3 linked regions of the Caenorhabditis elegans genome follow. Each later gene encodes a partner of the first gene's protein in a complex. Each region holds a gene or a part of one and is shown in the gene's direction. Other genes may lie near its edges.

Region 1 (3,353 bases):
AGAATTTTACAAACGTGTATCTGCCTTGGAGAGACCAGTAAGATCAAAAATAAATTTTTTAAAACTCATATTTTTATTATTACTATTATTATTATTATTATTGCAGGCCGCCGCTAGAATTCGAGCTCTGAAGAATAAGCCGGATTATCAAAAAATCCAAGATAAAATCAACGAAATTGTTCAAAAGCACAAAAATGCAGCCGAAATCGACAAAGAACTACACTCCAGTGAAATTCTCTCATCGCTCACAATCACGGAAGTGTTAGTTGAAAACCAAAAAAAAAACACCATATTTTAATTACATTTTGTTTTTCAGTGATGTTCGTTACATGATAGAAAGAAGCAAGACTTTGACGCGTTACTACGAGGCTCGACAGTTTAGAAAGGTAAATTAATTGTACAGAATATTAACCCATTGAAAAATGTTCAGAACGTGGATCAAATCGGATGTCGTGTTCGTCCGATTAAGATCGATTTGGATCCAGAAACAATGCCAACATTTGATCCAAATGATGCTGAAGATGAAAAGCAAATGGTCATTGTGGAGTCGTTGTGCTCTGTAATTCGTGCTCACGACGTAAAAGAATGGGGCACTAAGTTTTGGAATGAACATCGCTTCACAGCGCCGAAATACGCTAAAAGATTTGTGGAGAATGTGAGTCAGAATAGAGAAAATAAAGTTTAATGAAAATTCACATTAAAATTCTCACAGATGGTCATAAACAAGTCAAAAGAAGTCGCTGAATGGTATTTACATGTTAACTCAAAGTCATGCAATCAAAATGATGTACATTGCCCAGCCAAGTCAACTCTTCCTCCGACTGCTGCATCATTCGATCTTCACAAAATGCTTCAAAAAGCCCGTTCTGGATTGAATCGTCTTTCTGCTGAACACTTTTACCCTCTTGATGTCTCTCTGGCTCAACAATTCAACTTCAAAAACGACGAGAGAGAGGGCCTCGACGGAGACAGACGTATGCATATCGGGTTGTCTGATGAGGTCACCAATAGTAAAGAGTATGCGAATTTTTATGTAAGTGAATATATTATATTCTTATTTTTATTTTTGATAATTTTTCAGGCTCGAATGCGTTCGATTCTTCTCGAACCAATGCGTCTTGGAATTGCTCGTGAATCGTCGTCTGATGAAACCAAGCGGCTTGTGCGCTGTCTTGCAGAGGAACGCGCCTGCGATGAAGAACAACAAGTTACCTGTGACCAAATAAGACGACGCCGGATGCCTGATGACGAGATCTATGTTACTCCAACTTCAATCTCTAGAGAACTAAATGTAAAGTTTTTTGCGTTGTCTCCACTGCTAGACGTTGTTTTTTTTCAGAACGGCATGAAAATCGATACCACCGAGTTGTTGGCTAATCTGGACAAGAATTCTGCGAAGAAAATCAGAATGAAAAGGAAGATTGGAGAGGTGAGATGTGACACTAAAATTAAACTTTTACCCCTAGTAATCCTTGCGGTACTATTATCTATATTTTTCTCATAGTCCTCAATGAAACAGTATATTTTTCAGACCGTTGCGACAGTTGCAGCGCGTCCTGCTCGTCCACCGCGTTCATCTGCAGGTACACCCACTCCAAGTCACGTCTCGATCGATACGGAGAGTAATATTTCGCTCAAAGTGGAGTTAGATTGAATATTCTATTATTGAACAATATAACTATTTTACCCAACTCTATGTCATCCTCTCCTGTGCAGTTTTACATCACTTTTTTAAACTGAACCCATTAAAAGTTGATCTCCTAAGATTATTTCACTTTTGTTTTATTAACAATCTCAGCTCTTTATGAACACCATCTGTTAAATTTGTTTTTCTTTTTCTAATAAAATGGTTTTATAGGCATGGGTCGTTTTAGTTTCAATCGATACGGTATGTTTCCATTGGAATAATATATTTAACTCATTTCGTAGTACGGATTTCACCGTATAGGTGAAAAAAGGTCATAATATCAAAATTTTGTAAATTTCTGTAATTTTTCGAAGCTTGAATTCCATTTTTTTTTCTTCAGGCTACAATACAATGCAGATGGAGAGTGTAGAAAGTGAAAAGACGAGATTTGAAGTTGAATGTGAATTCGTGCAGGCTCTTGCAAATCCAAATTATCTTAATTGTGAGTTTATTCACATACACTAGCCGAGAATAGAGAAAAACGTATTTTTATTCTAAGTTTCTTGTTTTTTTATGCACTCTTTTTCCTGCAAATTTCATATTTTCCAGTTCTCGCGCAACGTGGTTATTTCAAAGAAGAATATTTTGTCAACTATCTCAAATATCTTCTCTATTGGAAAGATCCTCAATATGCCAGATGCTTGAAATTTCCTCAATGTCTGCACATGCTTGAAGCACTGCAGAGTCAGCAATTTCGCGATTCGATGGCTTACGGTAGTTCAAATTTTATTTAATCTATCAGAAGAATAGTAACTTATTTTCAGGACCAAGCGCGAAATTCGTAGAAGATCAAGTGGTTCTCCAATGGCAGTTTTATCTTCGGAAACGGCATCGTTTGTGTATGATGCCTGATGAGGGACAAGAGCTTGAAGAATCTGAAGATGAAGCTGATATTCGACAAAAGGACACAGAGGATGAAGATGATGAGGAAACGATGAAGAAACCGGATGCTGACACAGCCGAAAAGAATTCCACAACTTCTACCGTTTCAAAGAAAGAAAAATAAACATAAAAAATGTAAATCAAATAAAACTTCATCACCACTTTATTGAAATTGAAACCTACATTTTACAGAACCGTGAATTTTTTCGAAGCCTGGACAGAAATCAGAGAATATTTGGAAAGTTAGGTTAAGATTTTACTTTCTATTCGAAAATCTTGTATTGGGAACAATTGTAACGTCGTTGACAAATGTCTGATTACGGAAAGCTGTTGTCTCGAGTAGAGTAGAGTCGTCGTTGCTGCATATCTCTTTCTTCTTCCGGCTTGTAGCAGCACGGAATTCAGTTGTAGAAGTGAAAAAATTGATGAAGAAACTACGATAAGAAGCAGCGAACAGATCACGGTCCTCGGGCTTGATAGCGGGGAATCCAACTGGAACAGCACGAAGAACTTCTTCATCGGAAAATTGGAAAGATGTGAAGTCATGACCATCGATTAGTTGATGCTGTCCTGTGCGAACTTCTAGCCTAAATAATTTCAAATGTAATACCATTTCATCTGTATTCAAATTAACAATCGAAGTCTGGTTCGCATGGTTTCTTCACCCCAAACGACATGCACAAAGAATTTGGCTCCAGGAAGAATACGTCGCTGGAATGAGGATGTTGTTGAGGCTGTCGAAAGCGAAGACGATGTACGAAAATTGTTTTCATCGTGAAGATCA
Region 2 (4,782 bases), 6.2 Mb from region 1:
GTTAGTCGCAATAACTTGCAATTTTTGTACCGAAAATACGGTACCCGGTCTCGACACAATCTACTTTTGTTGCTAAATTTCCAGCGATTTTTTTTTCGATAAAAATATATTATGAAAACTCTTAAACTTTGAAAAATCGTGAGAAAATCTATGGGAAATCGGTGAAACTACAGTAATCTTTAAAGGCGCACAGTTCATTTCCATTTAACCAATAATTCACGTGGTGTCAGGCTGTCCCATGACGGTTTGATCTACAAAAAATGCTGGAATTTTTCTCTCAGCACACTCTTAACTATGCGAAATTAGTTTAAAAGTCTGCGTCTCTTCTCCCGCATTTGGGGCACTTTGACACCACGTGATAATTGTCGTGTCAAGACTAAGTTATAATTCGCTGCGAGACTCGAAAAATGATGTGCAACCTTCCCAACTTTCAGTTCGTCGCGGACTGCAATTTCAGCGGCGGAGGCCCCGGGCCGGGAAAACTGGCGGACACCACCAACCGCCAGGTCGCCGACACATTCTACCAGAGGACCTACGAAAACTCGCCGAGAGTCCTGCCAAAGTATATCTACTATAATGAGAATACCGCCAGAGACTACGGGCAGTTCGGTAACTGGTACTACCCGAATTACTATCCACCAACTTATCTCGGATTCTTCGACGGACGGCCGGCAAGTATGGCACAGCTTGAGAATGATTATAAATTTGCAAAAGGTGGACATTATCCATATAACAGGTAAATTTAAATTTTTTTAAAATTAATAATAAAACTTGTTTTTTTTCAGAGCCGATAATATTGTGAACATTGGGCTTCAACAGACATATCTTCCAACTTGCCTTCACGACTTGTTCTACTGTGTTCGCGCCAGCAATGGGCAGAGACCCCAGGCGTATTTGGTAGGTGGCCTAGGACTCAAAAAAAACTAGGCCATCGATTTTTCGAATTTTTAAAGAAAAAAACCATGTATTTTTAGTTGAAAATCTCCTTTTTTTAATCTTTTCCACGGATTTCTGGCTTCCCTCATAAATTGAAATGGAAGAGTTTGCCGAACTAGGTCATTTAGGCTCGGCCATATCTGGCATAGATTTACGGAGCGTTGCGTGTCGCGTCGCGGCTCGATTTTAGTTGTAAAACTAAATGTATTTGCCCGTGTGGAGTACTTTCCCACGTGTTTTCCGGCAGGCGATTGTCAATGGAGCGCGAAAAATTCAATGAGGAAGGCCAGAACCCCGTGCGCACGTTTAATTTTGCAACGCTCGCGCCAAGACCTTTCCTCTCAATTGAGCTCAAACAACGTTTTTTTTTAAAAATCACATTTCCTTCTCTTTTTCAGAACTACAAAGAATACCGCCGTGACCGTGACCAGGCTGCTGAACAAATGGCCCAACGGGATCAAGATATCAAGACTCTCCGCCGCCACCGCACCAGACACCACGAGGATGATGAATAAATTGATTTTGTTTGTAGATTATTAATGAAACATGATGTATTTTTGTTAATAAAATATAACTTGAAAATCGATTTTTTCTGCAGAAAACCGGTTTTAAACCCTGAGACGAATTATCTAAATTCAAACACCCGCCAATTGATGCCAGTGGCTGTGGCCTAAAATCCGCCTGCTAAACAACACGCGCCGCGTTATAACGGAGTGTCGTTCGCAGCAAAACAAAATATTTTTTGCACCGATTTTCTATTTTAAACTGCATTTTTAATGGGTTTCTCGTTAAAATTTCTCAATTTTTATATTATTAAACAGCAAATAATTAAATATTTATCGATTTTCAGGTAGCGAAACCTACCATGATAATTGAAGAGAGGAAAAATCATGAGTTAAACCTGGAGTCGATCGATCGAGATTTGCGAATGGAAAATGTCCGCCAAAGCGCAGAAAAGCTGGGATGGGAGCATTTTGCGAGATCTGTCAGGAGGAATTTGCTGGTAACTGCAATCTCCACCGTTTTTCATTGAAAAAAAAATCAAATTTTCAGGAGAAAAGGCAAACACTCGATGCACGAACCCGTCTCGACGTTCTTGGCTCTCTGGTTTTTATGAAAGAGCATTTACCAATTGATAATGATGCTACTATTGCTCGAAAAGTTCAACAATTATCTGAAGGCCTAGGGTGAGTGCTTTTTTAAATTTTTTTTAAATTAAAAATTTTATAAATAATTTTTTTTTCAGAGAACATTGCGTGTTTTCAACTCAAAATAGTGGATTTTCAATCAGAAATCCTGATGTAACAATCGACATTGGTGTTGCAGAGGATCAAGTGCGTTGAATACGGGATTTTACCAAAACAATAAAGCTATCTTTCAGATTAGTACCTGCAAAATCGGTTATTTCGGTCAACCGCTCACTGATGCTCCAGGAGCTCTAGCTCTAATGAAAAATGGAGAATTCTCGAAGCTTCGCGATTCGATAACCGCGATTTTGTCCTCACTTCCGAAGGAAATTACATTGTAAAGCTAATAATATTTATTTTTCAGAGGAAAAGAAAACTAAAAATATGAAATAAAAGCGTAAAAACTAATGAGAGCGACAGCGAGAATAATCGAAGATCTGACATAATGCACCGGCTGGGAGATCTTATCCTGTGTGAGACGGATGAAGCTGATCAGCAGGGCTCCAAGGGCTACCTGGAACGATTTTTATTGAATCATTTAAGAATAAAAATCAATAATATATTACCGGCGGAAGGTTCTTGGCTTCTTCTTCCAAATCGATCGTCGGTATAGATTCCACAGAGGAGAACGTCCACAGCAGAAAACTCGTGTAGAGACCGCCGGCGACGATGGAGAGGGATGAGAGAGTGCGCCACGTGGCGTTCCGTGGAATTTGAATGATGGAGAGGATCGCCGGGACCAAGTAGACCGGCGTATAGGCCCACCAGGTCGGATTTCTCGAGATTTCGAGAAGGCCGTAAGCCAGAAGGCCCAAACCGAGAATTGATTCAGTGGCGCGGAGGAACATTCTAGAAAAAAACCATTTTTTGTGAAATTTTGATTTAAAGGTGGTGTAGTTGAGTTTTTTATTTCTTTATTAGACTCAAAATTGTCTGAAAACACCGAATTTGATAATGAAACTTCTTGAAAACTTTTCCAAAAAAAATTATGACGCTCAAAAAATGACCTAAAATTAGTGAAAATTTGAAGTTGACCAACTTATCATTGTCGCAGCGGCTGGAAACAATTTTTTTTTGAAATTGTCGTCTATTTTTGAGTAAACAAGTAGATTATCTTGCGTTTTAAGCTTTATTATGGTATTTAAAGTCGATGGACGAAGAGAATTGATTAAAAAAATTTGAAAAATCTCTTCGTCCATCGACTTTTAAATACCTTAATAAAACTGAAAACGCAAGATAATCTACTTGTTTACTCAAAAATAGACGACAGTTTCAAAAAAAAATTTGTTTCCAGCTGCTGCGACAAAGATATTTAAGTTGGTCAAATTTCAAATTTTCACTAATTTTAGGCCATTTTCGAGAGGCCATAACTTTTTTTTGAGAAGTTTTCAAGAAATTTCATTATGAAATTCGGTGTTTTCAGACAATTTTGAGTCTAATAAAGAAATTTTAAAAAATTCGACTACTCTACCTTTAAGTTATAGAAAATAGTTAAAAATATCTATTTTTCTATTCGATGTTCCTTTATATACAGCTATAAAAATTTTATATGAAACTTATTTAAAAATATAATATACAGGAAAATTTCCCTACAAAAACGAGAAAATAAAAAAATCAATGAAATTCAAACTATTTTAAAGCCAAAATTTCGATAAAAACGAGATTTTCTGTATTTTGAAGGTGGTTTTCAGAAAAAGAAAACGAATTTATGGATGAAAGTATGACCACTTCTGAATGTTTTTTTTTTTGTTGCAATAACTAGTTGTGAGAGACGCAGACGGACGAAGATATGTATGTTGTAGTTTTTGATAAGAGAGATGAAGGTCAAACAAGGGGAATATGATGATAATTACGATAAAACTGTTTTATTAGACTCAAAATGCGCGGGAACTTTGAAATTTCAGGGAAAAATTGCTGATTTTTGCTAGAATCTAGAATTTCACTGCAACTTTTTCCTCACGAGAGACGAGGAAAATTGGTTTCTAGGCCATGGCCGAGGGGCCGACAAGTTTCAGCGGCAATTTATCTTGCTTTGTTTTCCGCTTGTTTTCTTTTGTTTTTCACAGCCTTTTCCCGTTTTTTCTTATTAAAACTGATAAATAAATATTTTTTGCAGATGCCAAAACGATTTCCAAGTAAAAAAAAGTGTATTCAGTGGGCAAGCAGCGGTGAAAGTGGTCAATGGTCAAATATGATGGATTACGGGAATACAAAACCTAGACTTTTTCTGAAACATGATACATATGCTGCTTAAATGCTGAGACTACCTGATTTTCATAACGAGACCGCTGAAAAAGTTTTGAGGTTTCCAAAATTCAACTTTTTTGGTGAAAAAGTCGAGATTTTCGCACAAAAAGTTGAATTTTGAAAACCTCAAAACTTTTTCAGCGGTCTCGTTATGAAAATCAGGTAGTCTCAGCATTTAAGCAGCATATGTATCATGTTTCAGAAAAAGTTTAGGTTTTGTATTCCCGTAATCCATCATATTACAATGCCCACTTTCACAGCTGCTTGCCCACTGAATACATAATTTTTTCAGTTGGAAATTGTTTTAGCATCTGCAAAAAGTATTTATTTATCAGTTTTAATAAGAAAAAACGGGAAAAAGCTGTGAAAAACAAAAGAAAACAAGCGAAAAACAAAGCAAGATAAATGGCCG
Region 3 (4,522 bases), on another chromosome or scaffold:
GATTTTCCCGAGAAAAAAACCCTAAAATTTCAATTTTTGCAGGAAGGCGACCCAGTGTCATGTTTTTAGCCAATTTTCGTTTAAAAATCCGATTTTTCATCCAAAACCACCAAAAAAAGTCGAAAAAAAAATAATTTTTCCTTGAAAAATTCAATTTTTTCCGATTTTTTCAAATTTTCAGATGTTTTTAGCCAATTTAAATGCTATTTTTCATTAAAAAAAACCCATAAAATTTTCAATTTTTTCAGGAAGGCGATCCAGTAACCTCCCATTTGCTTCCATCTGGCAGAGTTCCAATTGGTCACGTATTCCTTCGCGGTGACAACGGCCCAGTTTCAACAGATTCCAGACATTTCGGCCCGGTACCTGAAGCCCTTGTTCAGATAAGGCTCAGCCTGAGAATATGGCCTCCAGAGAGAGCCGGATGGATTTCTGATCATTGGTTTTGGGATAAAAGTGATAGAAATGCAGAGAAATAGGCTTCTTTTTCAGTGTAATTATGTGCTTTTCCACCCTTTTTTCCTGGTTTTTGTCTCACTTTTTTTTTTGCCATAAAATACTATTTTTCCATGTTTTTCTACTTCCATTTTCTATTTTTTTAATGGGTTTTAACCCTATTTTTACCTGAAAAAAACACTTTTACAGCAAAAATTCCATGAAAACTATCAATTTGAAGCCAAAAATCCAATTTTTCATCAGAAAACTCTCTAAAAAGTCGCTAGAAAACTAGAATTTTTGGTTTTCAGCGCAAAAAAAATTCAATTTTTAATTGAAAATTAAAAAAAAAATTAATTTTACTCATTTTTTATTCATTTTTATCCGATTTTCAGAGCCTTTCGACCAACTTTTCATCAGAAAACTACCAAAAAAGTATCAGAAAGTATGGATTTTCAACGCAAAAAATTTAGATTTCCATGGTAAAAAGTTGAAAAAAAAAATCGATTTTCACTCCATTTTAATTCATTTTTATCCGATTTTCTCGAATTTTCAGAGTTTTAGCCAAGTTTCGTCTAAACAATTCAAACGTCTACTAGAAAACCTCCTAAAAAGTACCAAAAAACGCACAAAATCCGGTTTTTTATTAGAAAAATACCTTAAAAATCGCAGAAAATAAGGATTTTTTTTAGTTTTTCAACTCAAAAAAATCAATTTTTCTTGGTAAAAATTTGAAGAAAAAAAATAATTTTTATCCGATTTTCTCAAATATTCAAAGTTTTTTAGCCAATTATCTTCAAAAAATTCAAATTTCTACTAGTAAATTCCTAAAAAGTTCCAAAAAACGCATAAAATCCGGTTTTTTATCAGAAAAATACCTTAAAAATCGCAGAAAATAAGGATTTTTAGGTTTTCAACTCAAAAAAATCAATTTTTAATGGAAAAAATTTGAAAAAAAAAATGAATTTTCACTCCATTTTAATGCATTTTTATCTGATTTTCTCGAATTTTCAGAGGATTTCGACCAATTTTTATACGAAAATTCCAATTTTTTATTAAAAACTACATTTCAAGCTCATTTTCAGCCCAAAAACTCTTGAAAATGGCTGATCGAATGACCCAACTACAGGATATGATTAACGAAATGGCCGGATTAATGACAAATGCGATTGGAGTGCTCCAGGCGACTGCTCCGCCATGTGAATTTGGAGCAATTTCACAGGAGCTTGAGGATGAGCCAAATTGCGCGATTTTTGCCGCTGGAATTGCAAAAGCCGCTAAAAATATTGAGGTTTTCTATAGAATTGAGCATTTTTCGGCCAAATTTTCAGAAAATCCTAAGCAAAAAGCTTCAGAAAAGCTGTTTTTCTCGTTTTTCAAACTATTTTTAGCCTGTTTTAACTCAAAAAATTCCAGAAAATTCCAGGAAACCCTAATTTTTATTCAAAAAATTACAAAAAAATCCTCATTTTTACCCGACAAAAATTTAAAATTTGTATTTTTCTATTTTTTTTAACTGAAAATTAGATTTTTTTTTGAAATTTTTGTGAAAAGTGGATTTTTTTTTAATTTTGAGTTTTTTTTAGTTTTAAATTAAATTTTTTTCGGCTGAAAATGAGGATTTTTGTAATTTTTGAAAATTATTGTTTCCTGGAATATAAAATAGTTTGAAAAACGAGAAAAACTGCTTTTCTGAAGCTTTTTGCTTAGGATTTTCTGAAAATTTGGCTGAAAAAATTAATTTTACAATATTCAGCCAAAAAATTTCAGAAAAATTCAATTTTCGGGTGAAAATTTGAAAAAAATTGTGAAAATTCGATTTTCCGGGTGAAAAATGAAGAAAAATCGAAATTTTTCTTTAAAAAAATTCAAAAATCCACATTTTTAGCCGAAAAAAAAAATTAATTTAAAATTTAAAAAAACTCAAAATTAAAAAAAATCCACTTTCCACAAAAGTTTCAGTAAAATTAATTTTCAGCCAAAAAAGTACAGAAAAATCCAATTTTTATTGAAAATTTTAAGCAAATTCTCATTTTTGCCGAAAAAATCGTGATTTCTACCCAAAAAACAGCAAAAAAAATCCAATTTTCTGTCGAAAAATTCAATTTTCGGGTTAAAATTTGAAAAAAATTGTGAAAATTCGATTTTCCGGGTGAAAAATAGAACAAAATTAATAATTTTCTTGAAAAAAATCTCAAAAAAATCGAATTTTAGGTCGAAATTCTTTTGAAAATTCGATTTTCTGGGTGAAAAATGGCTAAAAATCGAAAAAATTCAATTTCCAGCTTAAAATTTCGGGAAAAAACCAATTAAATAATTTTCAGATCCTCATCGACTCATTCCCAATCGAAGCGGGCAACCAGGAAGCGGAAGTCGAGGAGAAAATGATAAAAAACGACGAAAAGCAGCGAGAAAAAGTGAATGAGCTCGTCGGACTCGTCGGCGACAGCAATCGGCTCGTCGGAGTTGTTCAGAAGAAGCTTGCCGAGATTTCAAAGACACAAATGAGCTCGAGACCCAGTGAATAATTATTATATTTTGCCGATTTTTGCCGATTTTTTATTGTAATTTTCATCATTTTTCCATTATTTTGGGCCGATTTTCTGGTAAATTGAGAAAAAAAAATCAATTTTCTAGTCCATTTCCTCTTGACAATTCTTTAAAATCCAGAAAAAATTGCCTAATTTGCTGTGAAAATTTCAATTTCATATCGATTTTCATGTTTTTTTTCCATGTTTTCAGCCGATTTCCATTTTTTTTTGTGATTTTTCCTTAATTTTTCGATTTTAAATCAACTTTTTTTCCATTTAAAATCGATTTTTCATCCCTTTTTGCCCCTGAAAATAGTTAAATTCTAATTAATTTTCCCCTATTTTTCTTGAAATTTTCGATTTTTCTCATTTAAAATCGATTTCCACCACTTTAAATAATTAGAAATTCCCAGAGAAAATTGATTTTCATAGCAAAAAATTATTTTGGGCCGATTTTCCCGGAAAATTGAGAATTCTAAATCAATTTTCTAGTCCATTTCCTCTTGAAAATTCCTTAAAATCCAGAAAAAATTTTGCCTAATTTTCCGTGAAAATTTCAATTTCATATAAACTTTCATGACTTTCTATTAAAATTGGGATTTTTCCCATTTAAAATCGATTTTTCAACCCTTTAAAATATGTCAATTTTAATTTATTTTCATTCATTTTTTCCCATTCAAAATTGATTTTCTACCCTTTTTTCTACTGAAAATTTGCTAAATTTGAAAAATTGTGGGTAATTTATCTTTTTTTTTTTAAATTTTTTTCCTCAAAAATAATCATTTTTAATTCAATTTTCCCCCATTTTTCTAGAAAGTTGCCAATTTTTCCCCATTGAAAATCGATTTCCACCACTTTAAATAATTAGAAATTCCCAGAGAAAATCGATTTTTTTTCAAATTTTTCCCTTGAAAATTCCAAAATTTCTTAAATTTCGAAAAACTGTGATCTCTTTTTCTTTTTATTTAATTTTTAACTGTTTTCTGTATTTTTGCCCATTTTTTACACTTTTCCCCCAGAATTTGGGTATTTTTAAATTTAAAATTTGATTTTTTTTTTAAATTTAATACTCCTCATTTTCCTATTCTATTGGCAAAAACCATGGTTTTTTATCTGAAATTCTCTTAAATCTAGCCTAAAACCCTAGCAAAACCACTTCCAGATGGCCCAGAGCACACAAGAAGCAGAAGGAGAGCAACAGAGGCGACAAGCTGTGCTCCGGGAGCGATATTTGAGCTTTTTGCAGGTGAAAATTGGACATTTCATCTACAAAACCTCTCAAAAAATCGATATTTTTGGTGAAAATCTGAAAAATTCAGCGAAAATTTTGAAAAAAGCCACCGATTTTCTCATTTTTCAAGTCTAAAAACTGAAAATTTTCCAAAAATCCCAATTTTTGTGCCATTTTTCCCCGAAAATTCTCGAAAAATTCCAGAAATCCGCCGACAAGCCAGCCACCATCGAAATGTGCGAACGAACTACGGTCACCGCCACAATTAAAGCATTTCAACCGTCTTCGGAGCACGTGATCGTCGGTACGGTGGCCGTGGCCTAGG

What was found. The genes of interacting proteins can lie anywhere in the genome.
Region 2: mdt-31 (region 1) and sop-3 share a complex: the UniProt entries of both Caenorhabditis elegans proteins name them as parts of the mediator complex.
Region 3: mdt-31 (region 1) and mdt-21 share a complex: the UniProt entries of both Caenorhabditis elegans proteins name them as parts of the mediator complex.

Annotation. Positions count from the first base shown.
Region 1 is NC_003279.8:8,964,270-8,967,622, forward strand, and holds mdt-31 (Mediator of RNA polymerase II transcription subunit 31), read left to right. Parts: upstream 1-1,844; 5' UTR 1,845-1,860; coding exon 1,861-1,888; intron 1,889-2,027; coding exon 2,028-2,129; intron 2,130-2,236; coding exon 2,237-2,401; intron 2,402-2,451; coding exon 2,452-2,693; 3' UTR 2,694-2,732; downstream 2,733-3,353. Other genes in the region: snpc-4 (snRNA-activating protein complex subunit 4 homolog), read left to right, coding at 1-37, 107-261, 317-386, 431-655, 713-1,033, 1,082-1,291, 1,340-1,477, 1,532-1,654; spd-2 (Spindle-defective protein 2), read right to left, coding at 2,826-3,156, 3,204-3,353. UniProt on the Caenorhabditis elegans protein: Component of the Mediator complex, a coactivator involved in the regulated transcription of nearly all RNA polymerase II-dependent genes.
Region 2 is NC_003279.8:2,773,102-2,777,883, reverse strand, and holds the start of sop-3 (Mediator of RNA polymerase II transcription subunit 1.1), read left to right. Parts: upstream 1-1,782; 5' UTR 1,783-1,801; coding exon 1,802-1,939; intron 1,940-1,989; coding exon 1,990-2,123; intron 2,124-2,182; coding exon 2,183-2,270; intron 2,271-2,317; coding exon 2,318-2,460; intron 2,461-2,462; exon of another isoform or gene 2,463-2,499; coding exon of another isoform or gene 2,500-2,637; intron 2,638-2,689; coding exon of another isoform or gene 2,690-2,971; exon of another isoform or gene 2,972-2,972; intron 2,973-4,782. Other genes in the region: Y71F9B.13 (NADH dehydrogenase [ubiquinone] 1 beta subcomplex subunit 7), read left to right, coding at 435-736, 786-897, 1,335-1,451; Y71F9B.1 (uncharacterized protein), read right to left, coding at 2,500-2,637, 2,690-2,971. UniProt on the Caenorhabditis elegans protein: Component of the Mediator complex, a coactivator involved in the regulated transcription of nearly all RNA polymerase II-dependent genes.
Region 3 is NC_003281.10:11,776,107-11,780,628, forward strand, and holds mdt-21 (Mediator of RNA polymerase II transcription subunit 21), read left to right. Parts: upstream 1-1,514; 5' UTR 1,515-1,537; coding exon 1,538-1,726; intron 1,727-2,759; coding exon 2,760-2,963; 3' UTR 2,964-4,022; downstream 4,023-4,522. Other genes in the region: immp-1 (Peptidase S26 domain-containing protein), read left to right, coding at 249-479; C24H11.5 (Gem-associated protein 7), read left to right, coding at 4,129-4,212, 4,402-4,501. UniProt on the Caenorhabditis elegans protein: Component of the Mediator complex, a coactivator involved in the regulated transcription of nearly all RNA polymerase II-dependent genes.